Tamandua tetradactyla: one gene and its partners. The main gene of each other region encodes a partner of the protein of the gene in region 3 in a complex. Links are inferred from orthologs where the notes say so. Each region holds a gene or a part of one and is shown on either strand. Other genes may lie near its edges.

Evidence for each region.
Region 1: SNRNP200 (region 3) and PPIH share a complex: the UniProt entries of both Homo sapiens proteins name them as parts of the U4/U6-U5 tri-snRNP complex. The link is inferred for Tamandua tetradactyla from reciprocal best matches to the Homo sapiens genes SNRNP200 and PPIH.
Region 2: SNRNP200 (region 3) and LSM3 share a complex: the UniProt entries of both Homo sapiens proteins name them as parts of the U4/U6-U5 tri-snRNP complex. The link is inferred for Tamandua tetradactyla from reciprocal best matches to the Homo sapiens genes SNRNP200 and LSM3.
Region 4: SNRNP200 (region 3) and LSM6 share a complex: the UniProt entries of both Homo sapiens proteins name them as parts of the U4/U6-U5 tri-snRNP complex. The link is inferred for Tamandua tetradactyla from reciprocal best matches to the Homo sapiens genes SNRNP200 and LSM6.

Annotation. Positions count from the first base shown.
Region 1 is NC_135328.1:182,093,983-182,101,952, reverse strand, and holds the start of PPIH (peptidyl-prolyl cis-trans isomerase H), read left to right. Parts: upstream 1-4,952; 5' UTR 4,953-5,028; coding exon 5,029-5,094; intron 5,095-5,441; coding exon 5,442-5,506; intron 5,507-5,836; coding exon 5,837-5,860; intron 5,861-6,091; coding exon 6,092-6,136; intron 6,137-7,131; coding exon 7,132-7,174; intron 7,175-7,970. UniProt on the Homo sapiens protein: PPIase that catalyzes the cis-trans isomerization of proline imidic peptide bonds in oligopeptides and may therefore assist protein folding. Participates in pre-mRNA splicing.
Region 2 is NC_135335.1:33,959,359-33,966,370, forward strand, and holds the start of LSM3 (U6 snRNA-associated Sm-like protein LSm3), read left to right. Parts: upstream 1-4,012; 5' UTR 4,013-4,203; coding exon 4,204-4,224; exon of another isoform or gene 4,225-4,697; intron 4,698-6,433; coding exon 6,434-6,544; intron 6,545-7,012. Other genes in the region: XPC (DNA repair protein complementing XP-C cells), read right to left, coding at 3,810-3,912. UniProt on the Homo sapiens protein: Plays a role in pre-mRNA splicing as component of the U4/U6-U5 tri-snRNP complex that is involved in spliceosome assembly, and as component of the precatalytic spliceosome (spliceosome B complex).
Region 3 is NC_135343.1:2,444,306-2,451,807, reverse strand, and holds the start of SNRNP200 (U5 small nuclear ribonucleoprotein 200 kDa helicase), read left to right. Parts: upstream 1-4,487; 5' UTR 4,488-4,618; coding exon 4,619-4,663; intron 4,664-5,111; coding exon 5,112-5,275; intron 5,276-6,820; coding exon 6,821-6,992; intron 6,993-7,502. UniProt on the Homo sapiens protein: Catalyzes the ATP-dependent unwinding of U4/U6 RNA duplices, an essential step in the assembly of a catalytically active spliceosome. Plays a role in pre-mRNA splicing as a core component of precatalytic, catalytic and postcatalytic spliceosomal complexes.
Region 4 is NC_135348.1:21,885,937-21,892,906, reverse strand, and holds the start of LSM6 (U6 snRNA-associated Sm-like protein LSm6), read left to right. Parts: upstream 1-3,965; 5' UTR 3,966-4,093; intron 4,094-4,127; exon of another isoform or gene 4,128-4,402; intron 4,403-4,614; exon of another isoform or gene 4,615-4,739; intron 4,740-5,603; exon of another isoform or gene 5,604-5,707; intron 5,708-6,970. UniProt on the Homo sapiens protein: Plays a role in pre-mRNA splicing as component of the U4/U6-U5 tri-snRNP complex that is involved in spliceosome assembly, and as component of the precatalytic spliceosome (spliceosome B complex).

The DNA of each region.
Region 1 (7,970 bases), on a different chromosome or scaffold from region 3:
CTGTTTTCTCAATAGTTATTAGTAAGGACCACCAGAAACAGTTTGCTTTCAGCTGGCAAGGTCAGCAATATACTTTCACTGTCCTACCTCAGGGGTATATCAACTCTCCAGCCCTATGTCATAATCTTGTCTGCAGGGACCTTGATCGTTTCTCCCTCCCACAAGACATCACACTTGTCCATTATATTGATGATATCATGTTGATTGGACCTAGTGAACAAGAAGTAACAACTACTCTAGACTTACTGGTAAGGCATTTGCGTGTCAGAGGATGGGAGACAAATCCAACAAAAGTACAGGGGCCTTTCACCTTAGTGAAATTTCTAGGTGTCCAGTGGTGTGGGGCATGTCGAGATATCCCTTCTAAGGTGAAGGATAAGTTGCTGCATCTGGCCCCTCCTACAACCAAAAAAGAGGCACTATGCCTAGTTGGTCTCTTTGAATTCTGGCAACAACATATTCCTCATTTGGGTGTGCTACTCTGGCCCATTTATCAAGTGACCAGAAAAGCTGCTAATTTTGAATGGGGACCTGAACAAAAGGAGGCTCTGTGACAAGTCCAGGCTGCTGTACAAGCTGCTCTACCACTTGGGCCGTATGATCCAGCAGATCCAATGGTGCTGGAAGTGTCAGTGGCAAATAGAGATGCTGTCTGGAGCCTTTGGCAGGCCCTATAGGAGAATCATAACGCAGACCCTTAGGATTTTGGAGCAAAGCCTTACCATCTGCTGCAGATAACTACTCTCCTTTTGAGAAATAGCTTTTGGACTGCTACTGGGCCCTAGCAGAGACTGAAAGCTTAAGCATGGGTACCAAGTTACCATGAAACCTGAGTTGCCTATCATGAGCTGGGTGTTGTCAGACCCACCATGCCATAAAGTTGAGCATGCGCAGCAGCACTCTATTTTAAAGTAGAAATGGTATATACAAGATAGGGCCAGAGCAGGTCCTGAAGGTACAAGTAAATTACATGAAGAAGTGGCCCAAATGCCCATGGTCTGCACTCCTGCCACATTACCTTCTCTAGAGAAAACTCGGGCCTGGTTTACAGATGGCTCAGCACGATATGCAGGTACCACCCGAAAGTGGACAGCTGCAGCACTACAACCCCTCTCTGGGGTGTCCTTGAAGGACAGTGGTGAGGGGAAATCCTCCCAGTGGGCAAAACTTTGAGCTATGCACCTGGTTATTCATTTTGCTTGGAAGGAAAACTGGCCAGAGGTGCATTTGTATACTGACTCATGGGTTGTTGCTAATGGTTTGGCTGGATGGTCAGGAACTTGGAAAGACCATAATTGGAAAATTGGTAACAAAGAGGCCTGGGGAGAAAGTATGTGGATAGAAGTTTCTGAGTGGGCAAAACATGAATATATTTGTGTCCCATGTGGATGTGCACCAGAGGGTTACTTCAGCAGAGGAAGGCTTTAATAATCAAGTGGATGAGATAACCCATTCTGTGGATACCAGTCAGCCTCTTTGCCCAGCCACTCCTGTCATTGCCCAATGGGCTCATGAACAAAGTGGTCATGGTGGTAGGGATGGAGGTTATGCATGGGCTCGGCAACATGGACTTCCACTCACCAAGGCTGACTAAGCTACAGCCACTGCTGAGCACCCAATCTGCCAGCAGCAGAGACCCACACTCAGCCCCTGATATGGCACCATTCCCCGAGGTGACCAGCCAGCTACATGGTGACAGGGTGATTACATTGGACCACTCCCTTCATGGAAGGGGCAGCGATTTGTTCTAACTGGAATAGACACATACTCTGGATATGGGTTTGCTTTCCCTGCACGCAATGCCTCTGCCAAAACTACCATCTGTGGACTTATAGAATGCCTTATTCATCGTCATGGTATTCCACATAGCATTGCTTCTGAGCAAGGAACACACTTCACAGCAAATGAAGTGCGGGAATGGGCACATGCTCATGGCATTCTCTGGACTTACCACGTCCCCCATCATCCAGAAGCAGCTGGATTGATAGAACAGTGGAATGGCCTTTTGAAAACTCAATTACAGTGCCAACTAGGTGGCAATACCTTGAAAGGCTGGGGTAATGTTCTCCAGGAAGCTGTATATACTCTGAATCAGTATCCGCGGTATGGTGCTGTTTCTCCCATAGCCAGGATCCATGGGTCCAGGAATCAACAAGGGGTGGAAATGGGAGTGGCACCACTCACTATTACCCCTAGTGATCCACTAGGAAAATTTTTGCTTCCTGTCCCTGCGACCCTGAGCTCTGCTGGTATACAGGTTTTAGTTTCAAAAGGGGGAGTGCTTCCACCAGGAGAAACAATAATGATTCCATTGAACTGTAATCTAAGACTGCCACCTGGTCACCTTGGGCTACTCATGCCCCTGGATCAGCAAGCCAAGAAGGGGACTGCATTACTGTCTGGGGTGATTGACCCTGACTATCAGGGGGAAATAGGACTGCAACTACACAATTGAGGTAAAGAAGAGTTTTCTTGGAATATGGGAGATCCCGTAGGGCGTCTTTTAGTACTACCATACCCTGTGATTAAAATCAATGGAAAACTGCAACAGCCCAATCCAGGCAGGTCTACCAATGGGTCTGAAACTTCAGGAATGAAGGTTTGGTTCATCCCACCAGGCGAAGAACCACGGCCAGATGAAGTACTTACTGAGGGTAAAGGGAACATGGAATGGATAGTGGAAGAAGGTAGTGATAAATATGAACTACGACCACGTGATCAGTTACAGAAACGAGTACTGTAATGCTGTTTTGTTCATGTTATACTATTTAAGTTGTAAGTTATCAAGTTTAAGAATGAATATTACCCAAGGACTTGCACCCTATTTTGGAGAGATTTAATGTGTTTCCAGTTATATGCAGGACAGTTAAGTATTGTCAGGTCAAAGAAAAAAATGTGCATTTTAATTTATTTAGAAATTAGGTATGGTTTAAGGTGATATATAGAGCTGCAAAGTTGACAAGGGGTGGACTGTCATGGTCAGGTTCATGTGTCAACTTGGCTAAGTGGTGGTACCTGTTTGTATGGTGGGGCAAGTACTGTCCTGTCTGTTGCGATGAGGACATCTCACAGAATTAAATCATGATCATGTCAGCTGCATCCACAACTGATTCCATTTGTAATCAGCCAAGGGAAATGTCTTCTGCAATGAGTGATGCTCAATCTAATCACTGGAAGCCTTTTAAGGATTCAGAAGAGATAGGCTCTCTTCCTGCTTCAGCTGGTGAGCCTCTCCTGTGGAGTTTGTCCAGACCCTCCACTGGAATCTTCGGCTTCACAGCCTGCCCTGCAGATTTTGGACTGTGTTCCTATAGTCACATGAGACACTTTTATAAATTTTATATTTGGAAGTGTTCCCTGTTGATTCTGTTTCTCTAGAGAACCCTAACCAATACAGCGGTTTAAAGCTATAATTACTCTACAAAAACTTGTTTTCAAATTTAATCCATTCCTGTGAGTGGGAACCTTCTGATGAGGTTATTTCAATTAAGCTGTGACCCAGCCCAATCAAGATGGGTCTTAAACCTATTACTGGGGTACTTTATAAGCAGAATTCAGGCACAGAGACAAAAAGCCACAGGGGGAGAAAGGAGAAGTTGCTTATCAATGGAACAGGAAGAGAAGGCAGAGAGCAGGAGGTGCCACTATGTGTCTTGCTGTGTGACAAGCTAATGACAGCCAGCCCCAGTATGCCACGGTCTTCAGGAAGAAAAAAAGCATCATCTTGATGACACCTTGATTTGGGCTTTTTCCCAGCTTCAAACCTTGAGCAAATAAATTCCCATTGTCTAAGCCAAACTATTGTATGATTTTGCTTGAGCAGCCCAGGAAACTAAAACAGACTCCAAGTCTTGACCCAGGTCACCTTCCTTCACCCAATTCATTGAATCTATTTATTGAATACTTATATGCTATTCAGTAGTAGGCACTGCAGTCTACAGCTGTGAACAGCCAGGCGAGTAGAGTCTGTGCTTCCATGGAGTTGATATCTTATCTGGAACGAATGTGTGTGTGGCAGGAGGTGAGATGTAGAGACAGACAATATAATTTCAGATACTGAATGGCATTAAGAACATACACTGATTGACCAATGGCTACTTTAGATTGGGTGTAAAATCTCTCCAAGGAAGTGATATCTCAGCTGAATCCTGAATTACAGGGAGCATACCCTGTCCCCACCGTTAAGATCTGGAATAGTATTTCAGGCAGGTAGCAGTACCAAAGCCCTAACACCCTAAGACAGTAACTATCTCAATAACTTTGGAACAGAAAGGAGCTTAGTAATTTGGCAAGTAGTACAAGAAAAGACCAGGTAGGTGGCAGCCAGATAATTTAGGCCTTTGTAGGAGGAATTGGATTCTATTCTAAATATGATGGGAAACCAGGAGTGGTTTTTAAGCAGAAGAGTTATTTTAAAAGCACTAGCTGCTGTGAGGGAAATGAACTGGACGGTACAAAAGTGTAAACTCGTGGCAGAATGAACTAAAATTTTAGTGTCCCGATCTCAAGGAAGGGCTGAATAAGTCCTATATGCCAAGCTGTTCTAAGCCTGAAGGATGAACAAACCAGAGCCTCTGCCTTCATGGGGCTCACAGACTAGTGGTCAGAAGGAAGAAGCAACCTGAGCGAAGGTTCAGAAGTCAGCTGCAAGAGTTGGTGAGGACCTTGGAGACTGTTCAATCCAAACCCCCTAGCCTAACGGAGACTAATTTGTACCGCACTTAGAGCCCTGTGAGTCGGGTGCCCGCGGACATTCAGAAAAAAACAAAACAAAACAAAAAAAACAGCAGCTTTTCTCCCCTGCCCTAACCCTCAGGACACCCAAGTTAGTTAACAGAATGCGAACCTGTTATCGGTACACGTCTGGGCGCGGGAGCCAGTGAGCTCACCAGGATAGGGGGCGGGCTCCAGGGGCGTGTCTCGGCCTCGGTCGCCTCTTCCGCGCCTGCGCCGCAGACGCCGACGGCAGGGCTGGGATTAGATTCGCCTGAACCCCGCGTTCCCGGCTTCTGCTTCCGGGTCGGAGCCATGGCGGTGGCAAATTCAAGCCCTGTCAACCCCGTGGTGTTTTTTGATGTCAGCATTGGCGGCCAGGTGAGACCCAGAGAGCCACCGAGCCCTGCGCCGAAGGAGAACTGCACGGGGCTAGGCAGACAGAACTGTTTAAGCCTGGGATAGCGGATTTGGGAAGCCAGAAAGTGAAATAGGACCAGAACCTACCACCCTGCCTGGTGGGAGGATGAAGGAAGAGGACTCGCGGATTCTAACCCCCTGATTGGGAAGGGGCTGGGATCAACGGAAGGTTGGGCTGTGTAGACAGAGGGGGAGCGATACCGAGCGGCACCGCGGGTGGGGAGGTGGGCCTGCTGTTCGTGCTCCTTGCTCCCAGAGGCCATCATGGTCTTAAACTGGGCCCTCTGACCATCTCCCGCTGGTTGCAGGAAGTTGGTCGCATGAAGATTGAGCTCTTTGCAGACGTTGTGCCTAAGACGGCTGAAAACTTTAGGTAAGGAGACGATCCAGCTCTACCGGATTACCCCCACCCGAAGATGGGCCCAAGTCAGTCTGCGGAAACGTCTGTGTGTCTCTGTCTCTGTCCATTCACTGCCCTTGAGACATATGATTCTTCTGGTTATCGTTTTGTCTGAATAGAACGATTTGATTGTTCCTGTGTCCGTTTACTTTGTTAATCTGCATACCTCGGTACCTGGACCTCTGGCCGGGTTTGCTGGCTCTAGGATAGCTGGCTCCAATATCTGCCTTTCCCTCCCGAGATTAGTGTTTTCGTGGATGTGTGATGATGTGATGACTGACTTGTTCACCCTTTCGTTTTCAGGCAGTTCTGCACGGGAGAATTCAGGTCAGTCTCAGTTGTGGTTGACTTTTCTTCCTGTTCCTGAGGGGTGTCCTAGAGCTGCAATGAGGGTCTTGGGGAATCGAATGATTGCCCAAGAGGCTATCTCAGGTCATTTGCCTTCCTTATCTCTCCTCGCCCCTCTTTAGGAGAGTCCTGTTGATTGGAGTGTGTGATAAACTGGAATGGCCTGTGATAGCCAGTCGTCATTCCAAATCTCTTTCTTTTTGGTTATAGAAAAGATGGGGTTCCAATAGGATACAAAGGGAGCACCTTCCACAGGTAAGTTTTTTGGCAAGCCATCTTGGGGCCCTTAAGAATTACTTCCTTGGGGCATTAGACTGTAAAGGCAGAGGAAAATACAATCAGAAACTAATTCTTGGATCTTGAGAAGAAATTTTTTTATTGACTTAGCAACTGATTTGAAGAATTATTAAAGATACCAACTCTACTTACACTCCTCCACTACTTCTTTTAAGCTATTTCAAAAAGAAGCAGCTACCCATAATTCTAATGTTCTGTTTTTTCATGTCCTTGTAGGTATGAATGCTGATTTTTAAAATACCACATTTAAGAACTAGTTCTTAAAAATGACCATGTATGATTACCTTAGGATAGTCAAATTCCTTGGGCCAGATGGAAGTGGAGTGTGGTAACACTCAGGTGTCTTTGTTTCATTTAGCATTTGCCTCAAAGTCCTCACTGTGGTTAGTAATGATATTAGCATATCGGACATTTAGAGCCATGGTCTTTGTGAGGCCAAAGCCTCACAACACAACTGTGAGGTGGTAGGTGTTATTATCTACATTCTACAGGTGAGGAAACTGAGGCTAAGAAAGGTTAAGGATCCTGTCAGGACAGTATCTAACATTTATTGAGCCCTTATGTGTATAATAGCTCATGGGTTAGCATTTCACATACATTCTCCGTTTTCTTTTTTCCCACAATTTACATCAAGCCCTTCACCTACCCTTTGCTTTGGTGATTATTTTGGTGGTTTTCCTGCAGGGCTTGAGCCCCTTCCTTTTGTTACTATTCAAGTACTGGATCATGCACTTCGGTCTACTCTAAGATGCTCTTATTTATAATTAAAACTCCTTTTTTTGTTAATAATCTTCTCAGCTCACTCTTTCCAGGAGAGAGTAATCATTTTGTGAGCGAGAATGATAAGTATTGTATTTTTTAAAAAAATTGTTAATCTGGTACTATAATGATAAAACCATGTTTCTAAACTTTAGAATCATCTCTCAGAATCCTTTATGCTCCCTCTGTTTCAGGGTCATAAAGGATTTCATGATACAGGGTGGAGATTTTGTTAATGTAAGTATTGTTCCTCTCCTATCAAAGACCTATGGGTTTGTTTTGTTGTCGCTGCTGCTTCTGTTTTGCTAGGGGACCAAGTCTTAAGTCTTGAAACAATAGCTAAGTTTGATGGGAGATAGTGATGGGGATAGTGATTCAGGATTGCCACTACTACTGCTAGATGATGGACATCAGCACTTCAATTGAATGACTTACATCCATGGTCCAAACCTCTGTCTTCTAGGTCCAGAAAGTGGACTCTCCCAACATACCTATTGATGATCAGCTCTAATCATCCCCTCAGACTTAGTTGACTTTTCTCCTGGTGGAGGTGATGGGGAGGGGAAGGGGCATCTAATTAAAGTCACATGAAGCTTATTTAGAACTCAGATGCCTTAAAATGGATAGAAGTAACTCCTTTTCCAATAAATTGAATGCTTATGTCCTTTTTTCCTTTCCATTCCTGGTATCACAGTGCCTGAAAACCTGAGTTTTTAATCAGAAGTTGATTAGTGGACAAGAGAGGTAGATAGATCTGAAAGGATGTTTCTTCTGCTCATTGGGAGAGCCCAGTGGAATATTCCTTCACTGATCAACACACCTTTCTTTTGACTAGTCAGTATGTGTCCTCTATATCAAGCTTCTCCCCCTCCCATCCCATTGGAGGGTACCAAATAAATCACCTTTTTTCTTTCTCAAACCTGTGTTTGTTCTTAACCACCCACTTATGTTCATGGCCTTGCTTTACTCATATTAATATTATTTGGTCATTGTACAGTCATATGGCTGTTTTCTTGGATCTCGGAGACTTTTT
Region 2 (7,012 bases), on a different chromosome or scaffold from region 3:
TTTACTAATCTAAAAACAGAGAGGGGAAGATACTTCAAAGGCATCATTTGTTTCCTTATCACACTTGTTTCAAGCAGTTAAAAGCACAGATGTATACATCTGTGTTTTTTGAAAAAAGAGAGGTAGAGGAGTTAAAAAAAGAAAAACAAAACACAAAAAAACATGAGTCAAAAAGATGTCCAAAGGATCATGATTCATAATCTCCAAACACAAAAGAACCAACATGAACATCCATACACAACTAACTGTGATGTAAATTATGGTATAGTCATCCAATGAAATATAATTCAGTCATCTTTTAAGACAGAGGAAAATAATATATGATATAATGTTATGCACGCAAAGTTGTTTTTACAGTATGCTTCCACTATGTTAAAACACACACACACACACACACAGAGACTGAAGTAAAAACACCAATAGTTAAGTTACTAATGATTATTTGTGGCAGGTAGAAACATGAATGACTTTTATTTCGTTCCTTTATTTTTTGTTGTGTCTTTTGGTCCTTATGAAATTAGAAGTTAAGGAACTGGAGTCTAAATGGCCTTTCCCTTGAGCTTGTCAATGTGGTTATTTCAACAGGACAGGAATTTAATCACTGTGGCTTGCTGGGGCATCCATGTTTAATAAGGAAATCTGCTTAAACCGTCCAGGGGTATCTCACAGCACTTAGAATCAAATTTAAACTCCTGAGCTTGCCCTCCTACATGACTCAGGCCCAGCCCACCTCTCTCACCTCAATTCCTATCACTCATGGCTCCTATTTCTCACTGCATCTAGCCAAGTGGCCTCCTTGCTATTTCTCAAAATGGCCAAACTTCTTTCCTTCTAAGAGCCTTTAAATTTACTGTTTCCTCTGCTAAAATTCCCACACACACCCCCAACCCTCACTTCACCCCAGAACTTCTATGAATGGCTTCTTCCCATCATTCCATAAGTGGCTCTAAATGTCACCACCTCACAGAGGCCTTCCCTGCCCACTCATTCTAACTTAGTTCCCTCTTCTCAAATCTGTATCCCCATGCCAACTTTACTACAGCACCCTGTTTTAACTTCTTCATAGCTCTTATTACCACAAGAATTTGCTGTTTTTTTTTTTAAACTTACTATCTCCCCTACCCACCCCTCAAAGATTATATGCATCATGAGAGCAGGGACCTTGCCTGTCATGTCCACTAATATAAATTCAATACCTCAAACAGTGAGTGGAAATAAAAAAAGTGCTCAACCAATATGTGTTATATGTTGATGAAATTAATTACATCAATGAACACATACAAAGAAATATGAAGAAACTACAGGTGCCCAAAAAGAAGCAAGGAAACAATGTGGAAGACTATTTTCTTTGTTCCTGATGGAAGCAACTAAGTGTTCCTTTCATTTGCATGCACAGGAGTGCTGTTAAAATCCAGAGTTTTATACGAATTTCTACACTGAACAATCATCCAAGTAGGGCCACCTGCAGTCCAAGGCATATGCACTAAATCTATAGTCCTCACCCAACCACCACAAAGACCTTAACTCTTCATAACCTGGAAGCAGCTTTGAAAACCTGGTGCTAGTTACCCTAGCTGGCAGAGTTGGATTGAAGCTTGGGTACATTCTTAGCTACATTTAGGTTGAATGATATTAGCTAGCCTAACTGATCACCTAACATGGGCCCACGCACCATGCCATAAGCCTTATATGCTATCTCACTGAAAACTCACAGTTACCTTGCAGGGTAGTACTACATTTCACAGATGAGGTTTAGAAAGGTTATTTGTCCAAAAATAATTTACCAAAGTGCATGTAAATTTACCAAAGTCTAAGTGATGCACAGCTGAAATGCTGAGCTGAGAATGCTACCCAGGAAGGTAGCATTACCATCAGATTAAAATCTTTACTTTCTGAATTGTAACATACTCTGAACACATTCCCTCTGTCTAGAATGCCCCAACTCCCCACCTTTCATGGCTGCTTGCTAAACTATTATCCATTCTTAAAGTTGTAGCTCTAACATAACCCCTTCAGAGAGCATTTCTCAATCTCTCCAGTCGAACTTGATCAATCTTTCAGAAGCCAGTCTTCTGTACCTTCTTCATGACCTTTAACGGACTCTGCCTTGGATATTTTATGTACAAATGTCATATCAACAGTATTATACTCTAAGCTCTTCCATGAAATCTCCATCTTCTATGTCACCTAATTCATATACTGGCATTCAAAAAATGCTATCTGAATGAATAAATGAGTGCCTGAATGAATAAAATGGAACTCATAGTATTAATTAAGCATAATATAAATCACCTTCTGAGCTAAGAAACTATTACCATTTGAATATTTTCTAAGGGACAATTAGCTTATAACATGTACAGAATCAAAGAATCTAGTATCGTAGGAGCCCTTGTTGGTTACCTACTTTAATCTTCTATCCAGTTATTTCATTCAGGAACTCTAGAAATCCTAAAGCAGCATGCATTTTGCAAAGATTTAAAATATTTATTGAGTACTTACTATGTGTGTGTGTGGAGGGAGGGAGGACAAAATGGACACAGCAAAATACAAGACATTTCTGCTTTCAAAGAGCTTAAATTCTAGTAAGATGGGTGGTCAAAAAGGAAGCAAATAAATTAATAAGACCCTAACAGATCGTGACAAGGGCTGTGGGAGCAATAATCAGGGTACAAAGAAGGAGAATACCTGTGGAAGGCTACCTTAGATCTGAAACTCAAGGAGTGACTCTGAGTTGAGACCTGAAGGAATAGAAGAATGAGTTGAGACCTGAAGGAAAACAAGAAATCAGCCACAAGGGCCATGGAAGTACATTCTAGGCAGAAGGAATAACAAAGGCTTAAGATTAGAAATGTCTTAGCATGTTAGAGGAACAGCAAGTTGGCCAATAAATAAAGAGAATCCCTGGCAAGGAGAAAAGAGAGGAAGCAGCACCCAAATCATGTAGGGTCTTGTAGGCTGTGCTAAGAAATTTAAATTTTATGCCAAGAGCAATGGGAAGCCATAGAGGTTTTGATGTAGGAACAGGAAACGTGTGGATTTCTTTTAAGGATCATTTTGGCAGCTGGGTGCAGAACCCACTGCAGGGAAGCAGAAAGACCAGTGAAGAGGTAACAGCAGCCACGCACCTGCAAGTCGATAGTGGCCTGCACAAGAACTGTGCCAACAAAATTAAAAGGACAGACGAGATAAATTTCTGAGGTTGAACTGACAGGACTTGTGCATGTAAGAAAAAGAACGGTTTGCTTTACCAAGACAGTAAAGGGGTCATTTATTGAGATGGCAAAAACTGGGGAAAGGTCAGAGGTTTTAAAGGGGGAAAATCAAGAGCGTTGCTTTGTCTATGTTAAACATCAGACAATATCCACTTGAAAAAATCGTGTTGGAACTACCTGGGTGAGATTTAGCTGAAGATGCTACTCTGGGAGTTAGCACACCACACCACTCCACATCGCGGTCCGTCTCCTGGGGGCTCATAAAATAACTGCAATGCCTTTTCCTCATTCAGCCCTTAGCAAAGGAGAGGAGGCTGGACTTTACCCTGTGGGCACTGCTAAGCAGGAATGAGACTACGCTGGGGAGCTCGTGGTCAGATGGGACTCCAAAGAAGTTGCTCTGGCCGCATCCTTCCTCGCGTGAGGGACAAAGGCGTGCAGGGATGCCGGACGGTGAGGGGCCGGCAGCGACATAGCGGCCCGGCAAGGCTCCGCCTGCCTCCGTCTGGGCATTGAACAGCATCCTCCCCCACCCCGGCTCCTGCACTGCGGGCCTGCCTCTCAGCCCCCTCAGTATCTGTCCCCTCGCTCTCTCACCTGCCTCCTTCCTCTCGCTCCGGGCCTGGTTCTTGCCTTTAGCCTTCCGGCCGCGCAGCTCGCGTCGCTGCGGCTCCGGAGAGCCAGCGCCTTTCCGTCCCATGGCCGAGAGAGATTCGCCTTGCGAGTGACGCACCACACCGCGGTAAGCGGTCGCGGCACGCGAGCCGCCCCAGTGGGGCAAGGCATAGTCACGCCCCTCCACCACGGCCAAGCCACACCCTCAGAGGAAGGTCCGCCTCGGCCCCGGCAGCCAGTGTAAATTGCGTAGGCAGAGAGACGGAACCAAACAGATACTTTCTACTTCCGGTGCTTTTGCGTTCTCACGTTTCCGGAGGCGTGGGAAGGCACGTATGATCTCGCGATAGGAGAGAAAGGGCGCAGGGTTTGAAACATGGCGGACGACGTGGATCAGGTGAGTGCGTTTTGGTCTAAAGCGGCTTCCCCCGCGCTCCCAGTCCTGGCCCTTCTCGACTTGCCAGGGCTGCCTTCTCTAAGCTCACGGGAAAGTGTCCTTACGAACCACCTCTTTCTGGCCCACTAAGGCTTAATCTGTCTCCTTCCCCTTGTAACCGCATCCCCTTCCAGTTTTGCTTCAGGCCCTCAGTTCTGTCCTGTTCAAAGCCCGCGCGCCTAACAGCGATTCCTGACTCTCATCACTTCCCTTCTCTTGTCTGTAGATAATGAGAATAATTTTCCGTGTCTGCCTCGTGGAGCTGTCAGGATTCTGATAGAAAGTGTGGCAAAAAAATTGAGTTAGTGACGTTATTACTCAGCGTAGTATAATAATTATCCACTCATTCAACCAATACGTAGTGTGTATCAGCTGTCGGTGACTAGACATTACTCTAGGCACCAGGGACAGACATAATCCCATTACCACGTGGAGCTTATATTCTATTGGGGCAAGGCATACACGTGTGAGATACATAGGAATTGTGACGTGGTATGAAGGAAACAGACAAGGGACCGGGTACGGAGACCTTACAGGGTTTTTCGCCTGCTCTTCTTCCCCAAATACTCTTTCTGATGAATGTCGGGCCACAACTTATTCAGTTTTTCCACTCAAATCTCACCTCATCAAAGAGGATTTCCCTGGCCACCTACATCAAATAGTACCACCACCACCCCAGTCTGCTTACCTTGTTTAATTTCGTCATAGTATGTCATTCTTTATTTATTTTATTTTATTTTTTTCATTTTAAGTATGTGCTACTTTGTATAACAGCTGTCTTCCCTGCGAGAGCAGGAATTTTGTTTTGCTTACTGTTCTACCATCAGGGTTTATAACAGTGCTGGAAACACCATATATTTATGAATGAATGTATTGGATGATCAGGAGACCTCTTTGGAAAGGCAACATTTAAGGTTATAGGTTGAAAAGGGTAGAGAATGGGCATCTCAGACTGAGTCTAAAGTAGCAGCAGGATTCTGTCATGTGTATATTCTTATAGAACTATAATTGTTTATTTATATGCCTCTCTCCTAATTGGGCTGAACTCCTTAAGGACAGGTGCCTTATATTCTATGAAATTGTAGCTTGTCCAGCTCTTTAACGAACACTTGTTGAACTGGAATAGTGAGAGAGTCACCAGTTGAGGTCAGGACTTTTTTTTTCTCATTGATCTGAAGGACAGGTAGAGCCTGTGCTGGAGTCATGATTGTTCTCACTGAAAACTCTTTCCTTGGACAATCTTATCAAGTTTCATGGCTTTAATCCTCCCTTCCATATGGATGGCCCCGAGGTGATCCTAGCCCTGACATCTCTGAAACTTCAGACCTATGTTACCAACAGTTATTTAATATTTGTATTTAATATTTGTATTAATATTTAATATTTGTATATGTATAATATTAATTATTAATATAACTATTTTAAGTGCTTTCTGTTTGCCAGGTTTTACTTTAAATATATTGGCTCATTTAATCTTCTCAAGAAACCTTAAGGAAAGGTTGTGGCATCCTCATTTTACAGATAAGGAAGCAAAAAATTAGATTTGTTATCTCAGTTTGTACAGGTCAAAGCTGGGATTTGAACCCAGACTGCCTTGCTCCAAATCCAGTGCTTTTAACCAGTAGTCTATACTTTCTACTACCTATTTTCATCTTACTGTCCATTTGGCACCTTGAACTCAATCTTCCTTGTGGTGGATTCATAATCTTCCCTCAGACTTTAACGAACATCCCTCCCTAGCATCCTGACTGGTTTGTGGTAGGCACTAAGTGAATGTTTTACAAATGATTAAATGATATTTGAGATAAGGCTAAAGTCTCAGAAAGTGGCTCCGTTTACCCTGAAATTGGGTCAGGCAGTTTATTATTTTGAGGGAACAAGGTCTCACTGACTTTGGTATAGCCATGATTATTTTGCTGTGTAACTCCTTTCTTTGTGTATATGTTTTCTCTCATTTATATAGCACTTATGTGCCAGGCACTGTTCTGAGCCTTCATATAGGTCATTTAAGCCTCGCAACAACAGTATGAATAGGTACTGTTAATCCCCGTTTTACAAATTAGGAGATTGAGGCATACAGAGACTAAGTAACTTGCCCATGGTCACATAGCAGAGCAGTGATTGGAACATTACACTATTCCTAGTATTATGCTACTGTTTCCTCAATCAGCAACAAACTACCAACACCGTAGAGGAGCCCCTGGATCTCATCAGGCTCAGCCTGGATGAGCGAATTTACGTGAAAATGAGAAACGACCGAGAGCTTCGAGGCAGATTACATGTAAGTTTATTAAATTATCTTGAAATTAGACTACTTCTGTATCATCCCTCCCTTTCCCCACCCCCTTGAAATGTAGAAAGTATCCAATGTGCAAGAATATTTTGAAACATGGAAGAGGGGGAGTTAGAAAGTCACCCATATTTCTACAAGCCAAATATAACTATTTTATATATGTTAACACTTTTTTCTCTTTACAGAAATGTGTTTATTATGAAATGTTTTCACTCCCTTCATTTTTTCCTTGTGATTATTTGTAAATTACATTTGTCCTCCATTCTTATTTAATTTTTAAAAAATTACTGCTGCATAAATGTGTTTTGTAAAAAAAATTAGACAACACAGATATATATAGTGTAACAGATGAAATCCTATTTTCCTCTATTGGTAACCACTGCTAAAAATTGGATCTGTATTCTTTCAGATATTTTTTTGAATAGTTACACATATATATTCATGTGTGTGTGTCCA
Region 3 (7,502 bases):
AGCCAGAGACCTTGTTTCCATTAGCAGTCACCCCTGCGCCCCATTTCTCCCTCCCTGCTGGGCACCCCTTTCTCAGGTCAGAGAATAGACAGCATCTATTCTCTGTCTTTATAGACTCCCATGGTGTGGACATTTCAATAAACGGATTCATACTGTAAGTGTTCTTTTGGAACAGGCTTCTGTCACTTAATATAATGTTTTTGAGATTCATCTACGTTATAGCACTTATGTTTGTTTTTTTTTTACTACTCCCACACCAAAACTGTACTTTATTTTGTAAATTTTGACCCATTATGACTCCTACATTATGGCTCTATCATCTGTCAAGTGTGTTACGTGAAAAAAAATTTAGTTAAATCCGGTTGCATCTGGAAAATAAATTTCTTAAACTCCATATACAGTTGGGTCCCCAGTCCATCTCTGAACTCTAGGACGGTCAGTATCATGTGCAGCAGACTGAAGCTACACCATCTGATTAGCTTATTAATTCTGCACAAGTTGGATCAATTAATGTGTCAACCAGTAACAGACTGTACACTTTAACTGAACATGGCAAAATAGTCCCTCTTCTGAGCTTTACATTTGATGTCAAACAGTGAAGCAAATCCCAAAAATATATACAAGAAACAGCTTTAAATTTACAATAGGTGGTTTCCCATACTGATTAATCCCTGCAACTAACTCATTGGCTTATGCAATTCTATTGAAGAAAAATAAATAAATTGCTAGCAGCGCTATTAGGTGACCATTCATCCATTGACAATTTGCCCCAGTTATTCAGTGCTATATTAAACAGTATATTGGAAGATAGAGTAAGTAATAACTCCAAGCTTCCTAATAATTTCAAGGAAAATTATAAAATGTTTGAGACCCTATCTTGGAATATAAAGTGTGTATGACTTCCAATTTCGATTTTCTGTAGAACAAGAAGTCATCCCTTCATGGACAGGCATAAAGCACATCACATTTTCTGTTCTGCTGATGCTGTAAATTCAATACCAGTTCTACAGCCACATCAGTTATGAGCATTAGGGTCACCATGTGCCCTCAGCTCTCCAGCAGTGGACGGCTTGGACAAGCACGGGTGCTGCTACGGGGTAAGCCTGTGTCCTCCAATGTGACAACTGAACGTCCATCTCCTGTCCGGGCCCCCACCCAGATGACGCCTTCGGTACATCAGAGCAGTGGGGAGTGGTTTCAGTCTCACAGCCAAGTTAGAATAAAGACCTGGGCACATAATACACATGCTTCCTTTTTTTTTATAAATAATTCTGAATCTTGGGCAGCCATTCTCTTGTAACTACCTTACAGTTTCTAAAAGCAGTCATTGCCCAAAGCTGGAAGAACTTAAGTCTTCTCAGATGAGCATGGAATGATTGGAGGGAGGTAAGCAAAAATAAAGTTTAAATGATGAAGTCTGGGGGTGCAAGGGTAGTTCCATGGTAGAATTCTCGCCTGCCATGCGGGAGACTGGGGTTCGATTCCCGGCCCATGCACTTCCCCACTGCACCCCACCCCCAAAATTCAACAAATGGTGCTGCAATAACAGGATAGTCATACGAAAAAAGAATGAAATGTGACCCCCACCCTTCAGTGCATACAGACACACACACACACAAAGATGAAGTCTGACAGGAGAGCAGCTGGATAAGAAAATTAAAAAAGGAAACATTAAAGTTATTCCTACTATAATGCAGGTATTCTGACTTTCATCCCATGGCATACTTCTGAATCCATCCTCGAAATGTTCAACTGCACTTATCGCTGTTTCACAGATGGCTGCCATCTCTGGCACTGGGGGTTCATCTGGGTTCAGATCACACAGCAGTAAACACATGGATAACAGAACTTCAGAAACAGTTACACTGGAGACCACTGTCATCTTAGAATAGTGAGCAAGTGCCGCTGCTACTGTCAATATCTGGATGATAAATTCTTGTGGTAAATGCAACCTTGACTCTTTGGAGAGGTGGGCTGTAGGAAAATGAATTGTCGAAAAGAACACACCGCCTTGCTATGAGCTGTCGTTAGGTCCTGGAATTGCGGACTGTCGATGAAAGTTTTCGTCCCCAACTGGACCTGCAGAACACTGTGCTGGGGGGAGGGTGTGCCATGGGCCAAATTGCCGAGCTCCTTATTAATCCGTGTCAGCCCACATGTGTGCTTTCTGCCTGGCTCCGTGCGATTTCGGCGTGTGCCCAAAGGTCCAGCCCAAAGTCCTGATTATCAGAGCAGCAGGGAAGGACTGAGTCTTCCACTCACATCGCTTCTCCAGACACAGAGTCCGGGGCCCCCACCCCCCTCAAGCTGCAAGCTCAGCCTCCTCCCCAGCCCTACGGGGGTCATGCCAATATTACAGTTCTTTTTATTGCCAAATAATATTCTACTGTACGGATATACCACTTTTTGTTTATATCTTCATCACTTGAACATTTGGGTTGTTTCCATTTTTTTGGCAATTGCAAATTAATGCTGTGAACTTTCATGTAAAAGTGTCTGTGTGAACAAATGTTTCCATTTCTCTTAGGTAGACACCTAGGAGTAGAGTTGCTGAGTCATATGGTAACTTTGTTTAGCTTTTTAAGAAACTGCCAATCTATTTTCCAAAGTGGATGTATCATTTTACAATCCCACCAGCAACATATGAGGGCTCCAATTTTCCCACATCCTTGACAACACTTACTATTGTCTGTCTTTTTATTAAACAGATTGTAGAGGGTGTGTAGTGGTTATTTAAAATGGTTTTAATTTGCATTTCCTTAATGGCATATGATATTGAGCATTTTTAAAATTTACTGTCCATTTAGATCTTTTCTTTGGAAGCATGTCTATTTAAATCCCTTGTCCATTTTTCAATTGAGTTGTGTTACTATTATTATTATTTATTTGTTTTGGCTTTTAACAAGGGGAATTTAATAAGTTGCTAGTTTACAGTTCTAAGGCCGAGAAAATGTCCCAGTTAAAACAAGTCTATAGAAATGTCCAATCAAAGGCATCTGGGGAAAGATACCTTGGTTCAAGAAGGCCGATGAAGTTCAGGGTTTCCCTCCCATGTGAGAAGGCACATGGTGAACAGTCAGGGCTTCTCTCTCGGCTGGAAGGGCATGTGGCGAATATGGCATCATCTACTAGCCTTCTCTCCTGGCTTCTGGTTTCATGAAGCTCCCCAGGAGGCGTTTTCCTTCTTCACCTCCAAAGATTGCTGGCTGGTAGACTCTGTGCATCTCATGGCTACATTGTTCTGCTCCCTCTGAATCTCCGAGTTGTATTATTATTATTAATTTGTAAGAGTTCTTTATATATTTTGGATACTAGTCTCTTATCAGATGTATGATTTACAAATATTTTCTCCCATTTTGTGAGTTATCTTCTCACTTTCTTAGTGGTGTCTTTCGAAGCACAAAAGTTTTAAATTTTGATGAAGTCCAATTTGTCTTTTTGTCTTTTGTTTTTGGTGACATATCTAAGAAATCATTGCCTAATCCAAGGTCACAAAAACTTACTCCTTTGTCTTCTGCTAGAGATTTTAATAGTTTTAGGTCTTGCATTTATGTCTGTGCTCCACTTTGAGATAAAGTCTGCATAAGGGGTGATGTAGGGGTCCACCTTCGTTCTTTCTCGTGTAGCTATCCAGGTGTCCCAGCACCATCTGTTGACAAGATGACTCTTTCTTCCTTGAATTATCTTGGCATCCTTGTCAAAATTCAATTGACCATAACGCACGGGTTTATTTTTGTACTCTCAGTTCTAGTCCCTGGATCTGTATGTCTTTCTTTCAATCTTACAATAAATTGGCTTTAGCCTCGCCCTACATGTCGTGGAGACAAGTTACCTCCTTACTGCCAGGAGCCTGAGAATTCTCCGGGACACATTTCCCCGCCGCTGCTTCTTGCACCAATTCCTTGTTTTCACTTCATTTCCTGCCTCGGCTCAGGGTCTCGCCTCCATAACGCAGCCCTTCCCACTCCGACTCTTTCTGGAACCCCTCCATCCCTTCATCCCTTCAAGTACCATAAAAACACAGTGAGTGACAAACTTTTACTCAGAATTTAAGAAAAATGGATGAAGAACCTCGCAAAGCTCACATGGGCAGCAACTTCGAAAATCACTCAGCACCGCGGCTCAAGGGCTCCCGAGCAGAGAGCCGGGCGGGGAGGCGGGGAGGCCTGGGTCCGATTCCAGAGGAAAACAACACCCACGCAGAAGAGGCACGCTCACCAGCCAACCATAATAGGACTTCTTTCTTTGCGAGCGGCCCCCTAGTGTGTCCTGAGCCCCTCTCCCATCTCGGGGGCTGCCGGAGGTGTGCGCTTCCTCAGGATTTGAGGGGCCGGGGGTGACAGGGCGCTCATGCCCAGGCAAGACCGGAACTAGAGTCGCGGGGCCCGGGCACCGGGGGACCACAAAGACACCGGGACACGGCGGCGCGCGCTCGCCTGCAACTCGTTCCCCGCACTTCCGGCGCGCGACCCGGAAGCGGAAGGGGGCCATTTCTCTCTTTTTTTGCTCCTGTGCGTCTCTCCTGCGTGGTTCGATCTCTCCGGGCAGGAGAGCGGCGGCCGTTCCCTGTGTGGTGTGAGGCGGAGGAATCCGCTGAGGGCGCGGGGCAGCCGCGGCCATGGCGGACGTGACCGCCCGTAGCCTGCAGTACGAGTACAAGGCGGTGCGTCTGGGCTGGCGGGAGGACTCGGGGCGGAGGAGCGGGATGGGGCCCTGGGGCTGAGAAACAGAGCTGCGGCCTGGAAGCCGACGGGAGAGCCGGGAAACCCGAGGAGAAACCGGGGTCCACGGCGCTGTGAATAACCCCGTTGGGGGCTGCGGCGGGCGGGCCTGGCCAGGGGCTCTGAGGGTTCATTCCCTGCCCCTTGCACAGGTCCCCTCCGCCGGGCCCCCACTCTTTTCCCTATGGCCTATTATGGGCTCTGCTAGGAGTAAGGATGGTTGGACTGAGTTGACAGGCCATAGAACTTAGTTCAGCCCTTCGCCCCATGTGCAGTTTTATAAAATGCTACAGCTGCCTCCTTCCTTTATCATCATCAGTTGATATCCCTGTGTTATAGGATATCGGCCCAGCTGATGTCAAAGTTGCGATAAAATTGTGATTTTTTCAGAATTCGAATCTTGTCCTCCAAGCTGACCGGTCTCTTATTGACCGCACCCGCCGGGATGAACCCACAGGAGAGGTGCTGTCCCTGGTGGGGAAATTGGAGGGCACGCGTATGGGAGATAAGGCTCAGCGGACCAAACCTCAGATGCAGGAGGAAAGAAGGGCCAAGTGAGTACGCTGCGAATACTAGGTTTTTTCTCCAGATCAGAGTCCCTTCTCAGTGAATTTTTGCTGAAACGCCTGGTGCAAGAGACAGGTCAGTGTCATTCAGACACCTTGGTGGAAGTAAAAGCAGTACCTGAAAGTTAAAAGGTTCTTTGGCCTTAACAAGTGTGGCTGCAGTGGAAAATAACTTTCTGGGAACTTTTTCTAACATATCTTTTTCTGGTCCACAGACATCTTCATCTTCACAGCATTTATGAGACCCTTGAGTCAGTTGCTCTTTTTCTAATTCCTTTGCTGGCTTCCTGCCCTTACTTTCCTTTGCTGTTCCTCACTTCCTACTTTTTTTTTTTTTTTAAGTCTTAAGCTAACGCCTAAGCGTCCACTGGTATGAAAAACTTTTTTTTTTTTTGAGTACTTCTTGGGGTATATATTTCAAAACCTAAATAATTATTGACTTTATCTCACCATTATCTTTTTTTTAGAGACACATGTAGAACTTTTATTTTGCAGGGTTTAAGTCCCTCCAGAAAAAGTTTGCTTTTTTAGACTTGCAGTATCTAAGCAAGAACATTTAAAATAGTTTGACATTTTTAATGATAGAATGGTGTGGGTTCATATTCTGTAAAAAAGAAAAGAAAAAAGGTGAAATAGAATGGCCTGTCTTACAGATCACTGGGGAGAATTACGTGCAAAATTAATTTTCTCCTTAAGCCAGACAAGCATATATAACTATCTGCTGTGGATAGGATTCCAGTTTTAAATCGTGCTGGAAATAGCAATGGGTGGAAAAGGAAAGTTTTGGATGGGAGCTTTCGAATAAACCATTATCTTTTGCCCCTGAACATCTCTGTTTCCTCCTCGTGATAAAGTCTCAGACGTTCCTATGCCTGTTTTGATTAAGGGAGTTACATTTCAAACAGTTTTATATCATTGGCCCTCTACTTCACAGAGTATTCCGCCTGTCCCAGTTTTGTTGTAATTTGTTGGGAGTCAGTGGCAGTAGATTTATCTTGACTCTTCAGTTTTTGAAGGTAGGGAAAGAAAATGCCTCTGAGCGGTGAAAAACAAGTCAAAATCCGATGGTATAATGTTATACAAAGTGTAAAGAGTTGTCTTCTTTTAATTAATGAGGGGAATGTTCCATTGTAAATTTAGTGTATCTAATAAGGGGATTCCTTTTCTGTGTCCCATCAAAAAATGTCAGTTATAAAGTACAATTATAATAATATTCTTTGGTCAGTTATAACAAAGGTACTACACTAGTGCAAAGTGCTAATAATGGGGTGGGGGCAGGTGTATATGGAAACTCTATATTTTCTGCATGATTTTTCTGTAAACCTATACTACTTTAGTAATATATAGTAAAGAAAGAAGTGTTTCCCGCAGGTGACTAAGGGCACATGGAATCATTTGCTGAGATGTAGGTTCTTCTTTTCAAATGTTGGGTGTGCGCCATGAAGCTGAGACAGAGAGGGGTGCCGTCTTGATTTGGTTTTGCCTTGGAGAGGGAAGAGTCTACCTGTTTAATGCCAAATGTGTGTCTGTTAGGCGAAGAAAGCGTGACGAGGACCGGCATGACATCAACAAGATGAAGGGCTATACCCTGCTGTCAGAGGGCATTGACGAGATGGTGGGCATCATCTATAAGCCCAAGACCAAAGAGACCCGGGAGACCTATGAGGTGCTGCTCAGCTTCATCCAGGCCGCCCTTGGGGACCAGGTAAGGCATCAGAGAGCCAGGGAAAGGGTCAGTTCCGAGAGACACAGAACAATCTTGTTTTTGGATTTGTTGTGTGGGCCATTACTGAGAGTTCACTTTATGTGTTTTTGGTCCTTGCAAAAACTCTCTTAGATAAGTGCTGTTATTCATTTTCCCTGTTATGAAACAGAGACCTGAAGCACAGAATGGTTAAATTCTTCTCCCGAGACTCAGGGGAGGTATCTGGATGGGAACGCAGGTAGTTCACAGAATCTGCTATTAGCCCTTACACAAGCACGGTTAGGTTAAGAGTTCTGAGAGGCTCTGGGAAAGTGAGAGATAGAGGAAGTGAGGACAAAGAATTCCCAAAAGTGACAGGCTAGGGGAGGGTGGCAGAGTGCCTTTCCCACTTGGAGATGTCATGGAAGCTGCATCCTCCCACTTACCTTATCTTTATTAAGTTGTGTGACTCTTGAGTGTCATTTTTGGTCCACATTAATGAAAATGGTCAGGGCCTGGTGTGACGCAGGA
Region 4 (6,970 bases), on a different chromosome or scaffold from region 3:
ATTTGATATCACCCTGGAAAATCAAGGACATCTGTTTGGTTGTTTTTTGTTTTTTGCTATAAACATTTTTTTGAATGCCTAAACATAAAGCACTGGTCCAATTCATTAATATTCCACAACGAATTTAGTTATAATATGCTCTGATTAAATTAGTTGTGGTTACCAGCCTTTGTGTAGTTGAAAAAAATTAAAAGCTATATATTATCTTATTTCATTGGAAGAAACATTAAAATATTTTGAAAATTGAAAGCCGTATTTTAAATAAACTTGGTAGCAGGTATGTTAGCCACAGAAATCTCTTAAAGACATAGAAATGCATTTTTAAAAGTTAAAGACTCCCATACCTTGGAAATAAGTTGCTGACATCTGAAATATTCCTAAATTTTTACATACTGTGCTTTATATACATTGGCCACACAGTTCCAATGAGTTTCACTGTGGTAGAATTAGCATTACTGAAATAAATGCACTTCACTGAGAGCTGAACAGCAAGCTTACATACTACAGATTTCCACATAAACTATAATTCATAAAGGCCAATCCAAGTCTTTTCTTTGTAGCGGGTAACCATTTATGTTTGAGGTGAAGATGTTAATATGGAAATTTTGTGAGCTAGGAAAGAAGATGAACGCTATCATTCTAATTTATGACCTTTCATATAGGGCAAATGTAAAGGCAACTTCAATTGTTTTATATCTCAGTGCCGGCACACGGCAGATGTATGAAATTTGGAGTGTTAGATATAAACTTTTATTACCAAATTATAAATAATTTCTCCCACTTATAATGTTCACCTTTCAAGTTCATCTTGTTGAAAACACAAGGGCAGCTTCACACAGATTTCGTTAAATTATACAGCTGAGAGAGGTTTTCTAGAGTTCACAGTAGAATGTAAAGCATTTCAGCGTTTGGCAGACTTTCCTTCCAGGAGCTCAGACCCAGAGTCCATCGCCTTCGAAGTTAAACTCAGACCAAAAGGATGGATTGATGAAATTCGAACATGTGTTTACACATCTCAAATGTTCTAGCTTAAAATAATTGCCTATGCTATCGAATAAATCTGTGGTAGACTGAATTATGTTCCCCAACGAACATATGTTCTTAATCTTAATCTGCATGCATGTGAGTGTGAACGCATGTAAGCAGGACCCCTTGAAGATACTATTTTTAGTTAAGGTGTAGCCCAGTCGAATGAGGGTGGGTCTTAAATCTGGATTCATGGAGGCTTTATAAAGAGAGAACCACAGTAAGGAGCCCAAAGCAGGAAATTTGCAGGAACCCAGAAGATAAAGAAGGACATTGCCATGTGACAGGAGGCAGAGATGTAAACCAAGGAACCCCCAGGTGCAGGCAAGCCAGCATAAAAATCGTACCAAAGTGGGAGGAAGCAAGTCTTCTAGCCTCCAAAACTGCAAGACAATAAATTCTGTTCATTTAAGCCAAACTTTTGTGTGGTATTTGTCACAGCAGTTTGGCAAACTATGACATATTCCTTCTTTTGGTAAAAATAAAAGGCTTATTGCTTTTTCTGAGAAATTTGTCCACCAGTCAACAAGTTTAGATCACTTCTCAGAAGATATTCTGCAGTTATAGAATGTCTTTCTTCTCATTTCCTTTAACAAATTATTTTCACATCCCATGATGAAAGGTAGGTAAGAGTGGCCTAAAATACCCAAAACCAGGATGTCATAGCTTTCATGTTTTTATGTCCAGTGTTGAAAGGTCAAGGAAGGGAGGCTCTACCCCTGTCAGCTCTTCAGAACAGTTAATGCACTGCTCAGGCAAGAGCAACTAGTGTTCATCGAATGCCTAACACTGATGCAACATTTTAAAACCTGCTTTGGGAATGTGACCAATCCAATTCCATGTTTGTGTTTATTATCTTTACCCACATCAGCATCATAGTACAATCACCCACACGTTCTCCGGGCTGTTGGGTGTTTTATAAGACAAGCTAAAAATGATACTTTCTGTTTCTGTTTCTGAATCTGAAACATAAATGGAGATAGTTACTTGAAGGCAAAGGTATGAAAACTTGTAGAAATGTGCAATAAATAATGAAATGGCTGAGTTCATTTTAGTATTTTTATACTAGTATTTGCCTGTTTTAAGAATAACAGATTATGTTTGAAATGCTGTTCTCGTTACAAAGCATTTTTGTATATGTTTTCTTTCTCATTCAATCATTTCATTATTCTAGGGTAAAAAAATTAACTTTTATTTCCTCCGTTTTAAGATTTTAAAAAAAGCCTTAGATAAGTTTAATTACTGGACCAAGAAAGATTTTTACAATTAGAAGTGGAGGAGGCAGAATTCATATATTACGATTTCTGATGTCATGATCTTAACGATTTTTAGTTCATTGGATAGAAACTTATATAGAGGCAATGATAAACTTAGCCAAACTAAGCTGTGCCACACTGTTTTTATGACTTTAGGGCTTCTTAATAAGTTAGTATTTATGTTCAGGTTTCAAAGACCAGTTCTTGGTAGTAAACCAGAAAAATCCCACATATATTCTCTTTGTAAAATATATGATGTTGAAGGAAAAAATAGTGAAATACTGAAAGTTGCCTCGTGAGTTAGTAAAAACCAATTTTAAGCTGGTGAGGGGATTCTGAGGACAATCATATTTTTGATAAGCTTTGGTGGTACATGAAGTAATTCATGTTAGTGCCCCTTGAAAAAGGTTGCCGCTGCCCTGTAGATGAACTATGCTCTAAAAATTCCTCACCACCCCCAGTCCTCCACATCAATCTACTGCTTCCACCAGGGCTCTGTGGAAACCGAGGGAAAAATCTATGAATCAAAATTTAAGAAAACAATCAGTGAGGAATGTGGGACAATCTGATGTCTTTTGCAAAGAAGGATTTTAGGGACAGAGCTTTATATTCTATTATGTTTGTTCTTTGCAGCTAATTACTTGATTTTAATAGTACTTTTCTTTAAAAAAAATTTAAATTTACATTATATTTTATATTGCAAGAACTTCAAATAGAGCTCTCTCAATTAATCTGTAATTGCTTGGTCTTGACCCAAACCACTCTTTTAGAGAAGGGTTTAAGGAAGTCTGCTCTTTGCTAAATCACCCCCAGTTGTTCTCTGTTCACAAGATCAGTCAACTGCTCACTTCTTCACCTTTCAGCTAAGAGAGGCTTACAAGGAGTGTATGTGTGTGTAAGGGGGGATACTCACTTTTGTCTTTAAAAAAATCTGCATATTATATCCTATAACATTTAACAGATTTAAGATCTGTTGTTTAAAGGTAGCACTTTGTTTATAGTGTTACAACTCATAAGGAAGATTAAAGTCTATCTTGATGAGGGTATGTGTGTAAGGAAAAAAGGAATTCAATGTTGGTGTAACAGCTGTCTCCCTTTTCCTCTGCTGTTTCACTAATAGCAAGAATACCGAGAATTCATGCAAAATTCCAAACCAGGTTCCCATAGCAGCACTTAAATAATGTCCGCACAGCATTTCCAATTAGAATTACTGTTTGTAATGTAACACAATTTATGCCATTACAATATAGTTACTTACTAACGAATTATTTTAGTTTCAATTAACATTGCTATGGAATTGCTAATAATGAGTTTGTTTTCACACATTTAAATCAAAATCCAAAGATGGATTTAAAGATTTGAGGCTCCTTTTCATTTGTTTATTTTCATGAGATTATTCAGCGACATTTCTGGGTATGCCCCGACATACCTTAGCAGTAAATTCCAGTTTCCTGACTTCACGCTATTTCTTATATTTCTGCAAAGAAATCCTGTCACTTCCAGTTCTTTATTTGCTTGGGTTTTTTAGTTTGGTTGTTAATACTGTTTTAGGCTTTCCGTTAAAAGAAAGATCACCACCGCCTCCGACTTGAACCCGGCGGCAAGATCTCGGCAAACCGAGGTTCTATAATTTGCGCGCGCGGGCCAGGACCGGCCTTTTCGGTCCTCACGGGCTGCCGTAGCTGGAGGAAGCACTGATTGGCTGGGGCGGAAAGTGCCGCTGCTTCGGCGGTTTCAGCTTTCGCGGCGGTTGTCGGCGGAGGCCGGGCGTGCGCGCCGCCAGGAGTAAGGTGCTAGATCCCGGCCGCGAGGTGAGCGGGGTGGCCGCGCGGGTGTGCGGTCGCGCGGTCTGAAGGCGAGGCCGCGCGTAGTCCCGGGTTCGAGGGCCAGGGTTCTCTCTCCCCAGCTAGGCCCGGGAAGGGCCTGGCGGTAGCGGGATTAGGGACCCGGAGAGGGACAGCGGGCCCCGGACACTGCCGGGGGGTCGGTCCCTGCGGGACGCCGCGCCCCTTGGCTCTCTTCGGCGCCTGGAATGGCCGGGAGATGTCTGGTTGTCGGCGTTGAGGTTCCTGAGCTCCCTGGAACCCTTTCCCCAGAGCTGCCTGGAACCGGGAGGCGTGGTGAGGAAGGGCACTTTCCTGGCTGCCTTGACTTTGCTTGTGAGACCTCTCCCGGTTGTCGAAGTCTCACCGGATCCCGGGACGCTCCCCGGGGATTCGGCGGGAAAACGGATCCTGAACACAGGCCCAGGCTTTGCCTGGTTCCCAGGGCAGCAGGGAATCACGGGTACTCCACTGAAATCGGACTAGCTGCTCAAATCGGACTAGCTGCTCCTGACTCCCAGGAATTAAGGAGTGGACCTCCCCGCTCCAGCCCACCTTCCCGAGTTGTCGGATGGGGGATATCCCTAATCGTATGGAGTCGAGTTCTATTACCGGAGACTTTCTGTGTGTACGGGTGCGTGCACGCGTGCATAGCAAGTGTTTTACTTCGGGGTATCCAGGATTAGAGTGATGCAGATAATGTTGATAGTGATTTAGTGTGCCTCCTCCTCCCCATAATAATACATGACTATTGTAGAAAAACGGAAAATGCAGAGGACTTCAGTGAAGAAAATAATATTCACTGAGTTCTTCCACCCACAGTCCATGTATGTATTTTATTTATGGATTTGTTTCTACTTGAGTTAAGACTATACCTATTTTTTCCGTACTTAACAGTATATACAGTTTTCTATTTATATTTGTAAATTCTTACTAAATAATTGTCTTAATTCTGTATTTTCTTCTGATTGCTTATTCCATCATTGTGTAGGTCTCATAAATTATTCATCCATTTTCTTACTGTGGGGCATTTAGGTCGTTTCTGAGTTTTTGCCTTATTTTAACGTCCCAGATTATACTTTGGTGAGCCTCTCTTTTTAACTGTGTATCTGATTATTCCCTCGGACTAGATTCTCAGGAGTAGAGTTACTAGATCAGATGATGTGGACATTTTAAAGAGTCTTCATATAGATTGCCAAATTGTTTTCAAAAAAAGTTTGAGTAGTTTACATCATCCATGCGTGAATGTTCCCGCTTCACCAAAAGTATGGTCGCTTGAAACATTTCTAACACATCAACCAGGAAAGTTGAGCCTCTCTTTTGAATGATTTTTTTCATGGTGGTGTCTGGTAATTCTGCTTATTTGAATTTTGTGCAAGAATCATACAGAAGCTTGCATATGTGTGTGTGTACTATTGGCGTTATGGCATAAGCTAACCAAATGTTAGAGCAGGAAGAGACTTAAGTGACCATCTAGCATAACTCCCTTATTTTCCAGGTGAGGAACCTGGGGCCATGAGAGGTGAAAGGATGAGTTATCCAATTCACACAGCTAATTAAGTAGCAGAGATGGAATTAGAACTCAGGTTTCCTGCCTCCCAAGTGAGTACTCTTTTTGCTGCATCAGGCTTCTCTCACTGTGGCATAATAGGTATTAGAATTTAAAAAGACATTATGTCACCTGGGTTATTTTATCAGTTTAGAATTGTACAACAAAGATAACCATCAGAGGGACCTGTAACACTGAAAAATTGGGAAGTGACCTTTTTCATGGCCGGGACTAAAATCCATGATAACAAATGGCAACCCCTTGAAGATTTTGACAATTGTTTTCAAATTCTCTGTGTTTTGGAATAAAATGTCCCTAATAAGTTATAATTTATACCCCATCATTTGGTTAGAACTTATTGGTTTTTATTAGTTATAACCTGAAGAATTAAAAAGAACTCCTTGTTGCTTTAAGACCAGGAACAGTGTTGGCATCATGATTATTATCATTTTTAGGCTTATAGCAGGGTTTCTCAACCTCAGTTGACATTTTGGGCTGTTTAATTCTTTGTTGTGGAGGCTGTCATGTATATTGTAGAATGTGTAGCAACATCCCTGGCCCCTACCCACTCAGCCACTCGAAACCAGTAGGACCACCCTCCCTAGTCATTACAATAAAAAATGCCTCTAGACTTTTCCAGATTTCCCTGGGTGAGAGTGGGAGGTGCAGAATTGCCTTCTCATTGAGAGCTGCTTGTGTATAGGAATTATTTCGGGGAGATTTAGGAAATGAAAATTACAGTACCCCTTGCCTAAAGCACCTGGATAGGAGTAGGCCCCAGGACTCTGCATTTTAACAAGCATTTCTGTTGATTCTGATGCAGCTAGTTTTTGACCAACACAGAAACATTTCTATTTTCTCTCCACTATCTTTTCTCTTATTTGGTGGTCAGTAGTAGAGATATTACCACGTTAATAGCTTTTGAAATGTGTAGATGATACTGTACTACCCACTTTGCCCAAAGTGTGAGGGAAGAAGAGACAGGGGTTTTGCCTGGCATTGGCCTTGAGTGTCTTTTCCACAAATTTGGGAAGTGTCCCAAGGATATAGAATGGGTAAGGTATTTTCCTGGCCCCCAAGAAGCTTAGAACCTGCTGGTCAGCAATGAAAACAATTACAAAATCTGCTGGTGTGATCACAGGTAAGAAAGAAGTGCACTGACTCACTTGTGTTTTTGGAGAGAAGGAAAGGAAGTTGCTGGTTACCTTGGACAGAGGAGTGAATTAGTGTTGAGCCTTCCTATAAGCTTAGGTCCTCCGCTGTTTCAGAAGTTATTTAGAGAACTCTTTTTCTCATTGTCTGATGGTCTTCTCAGA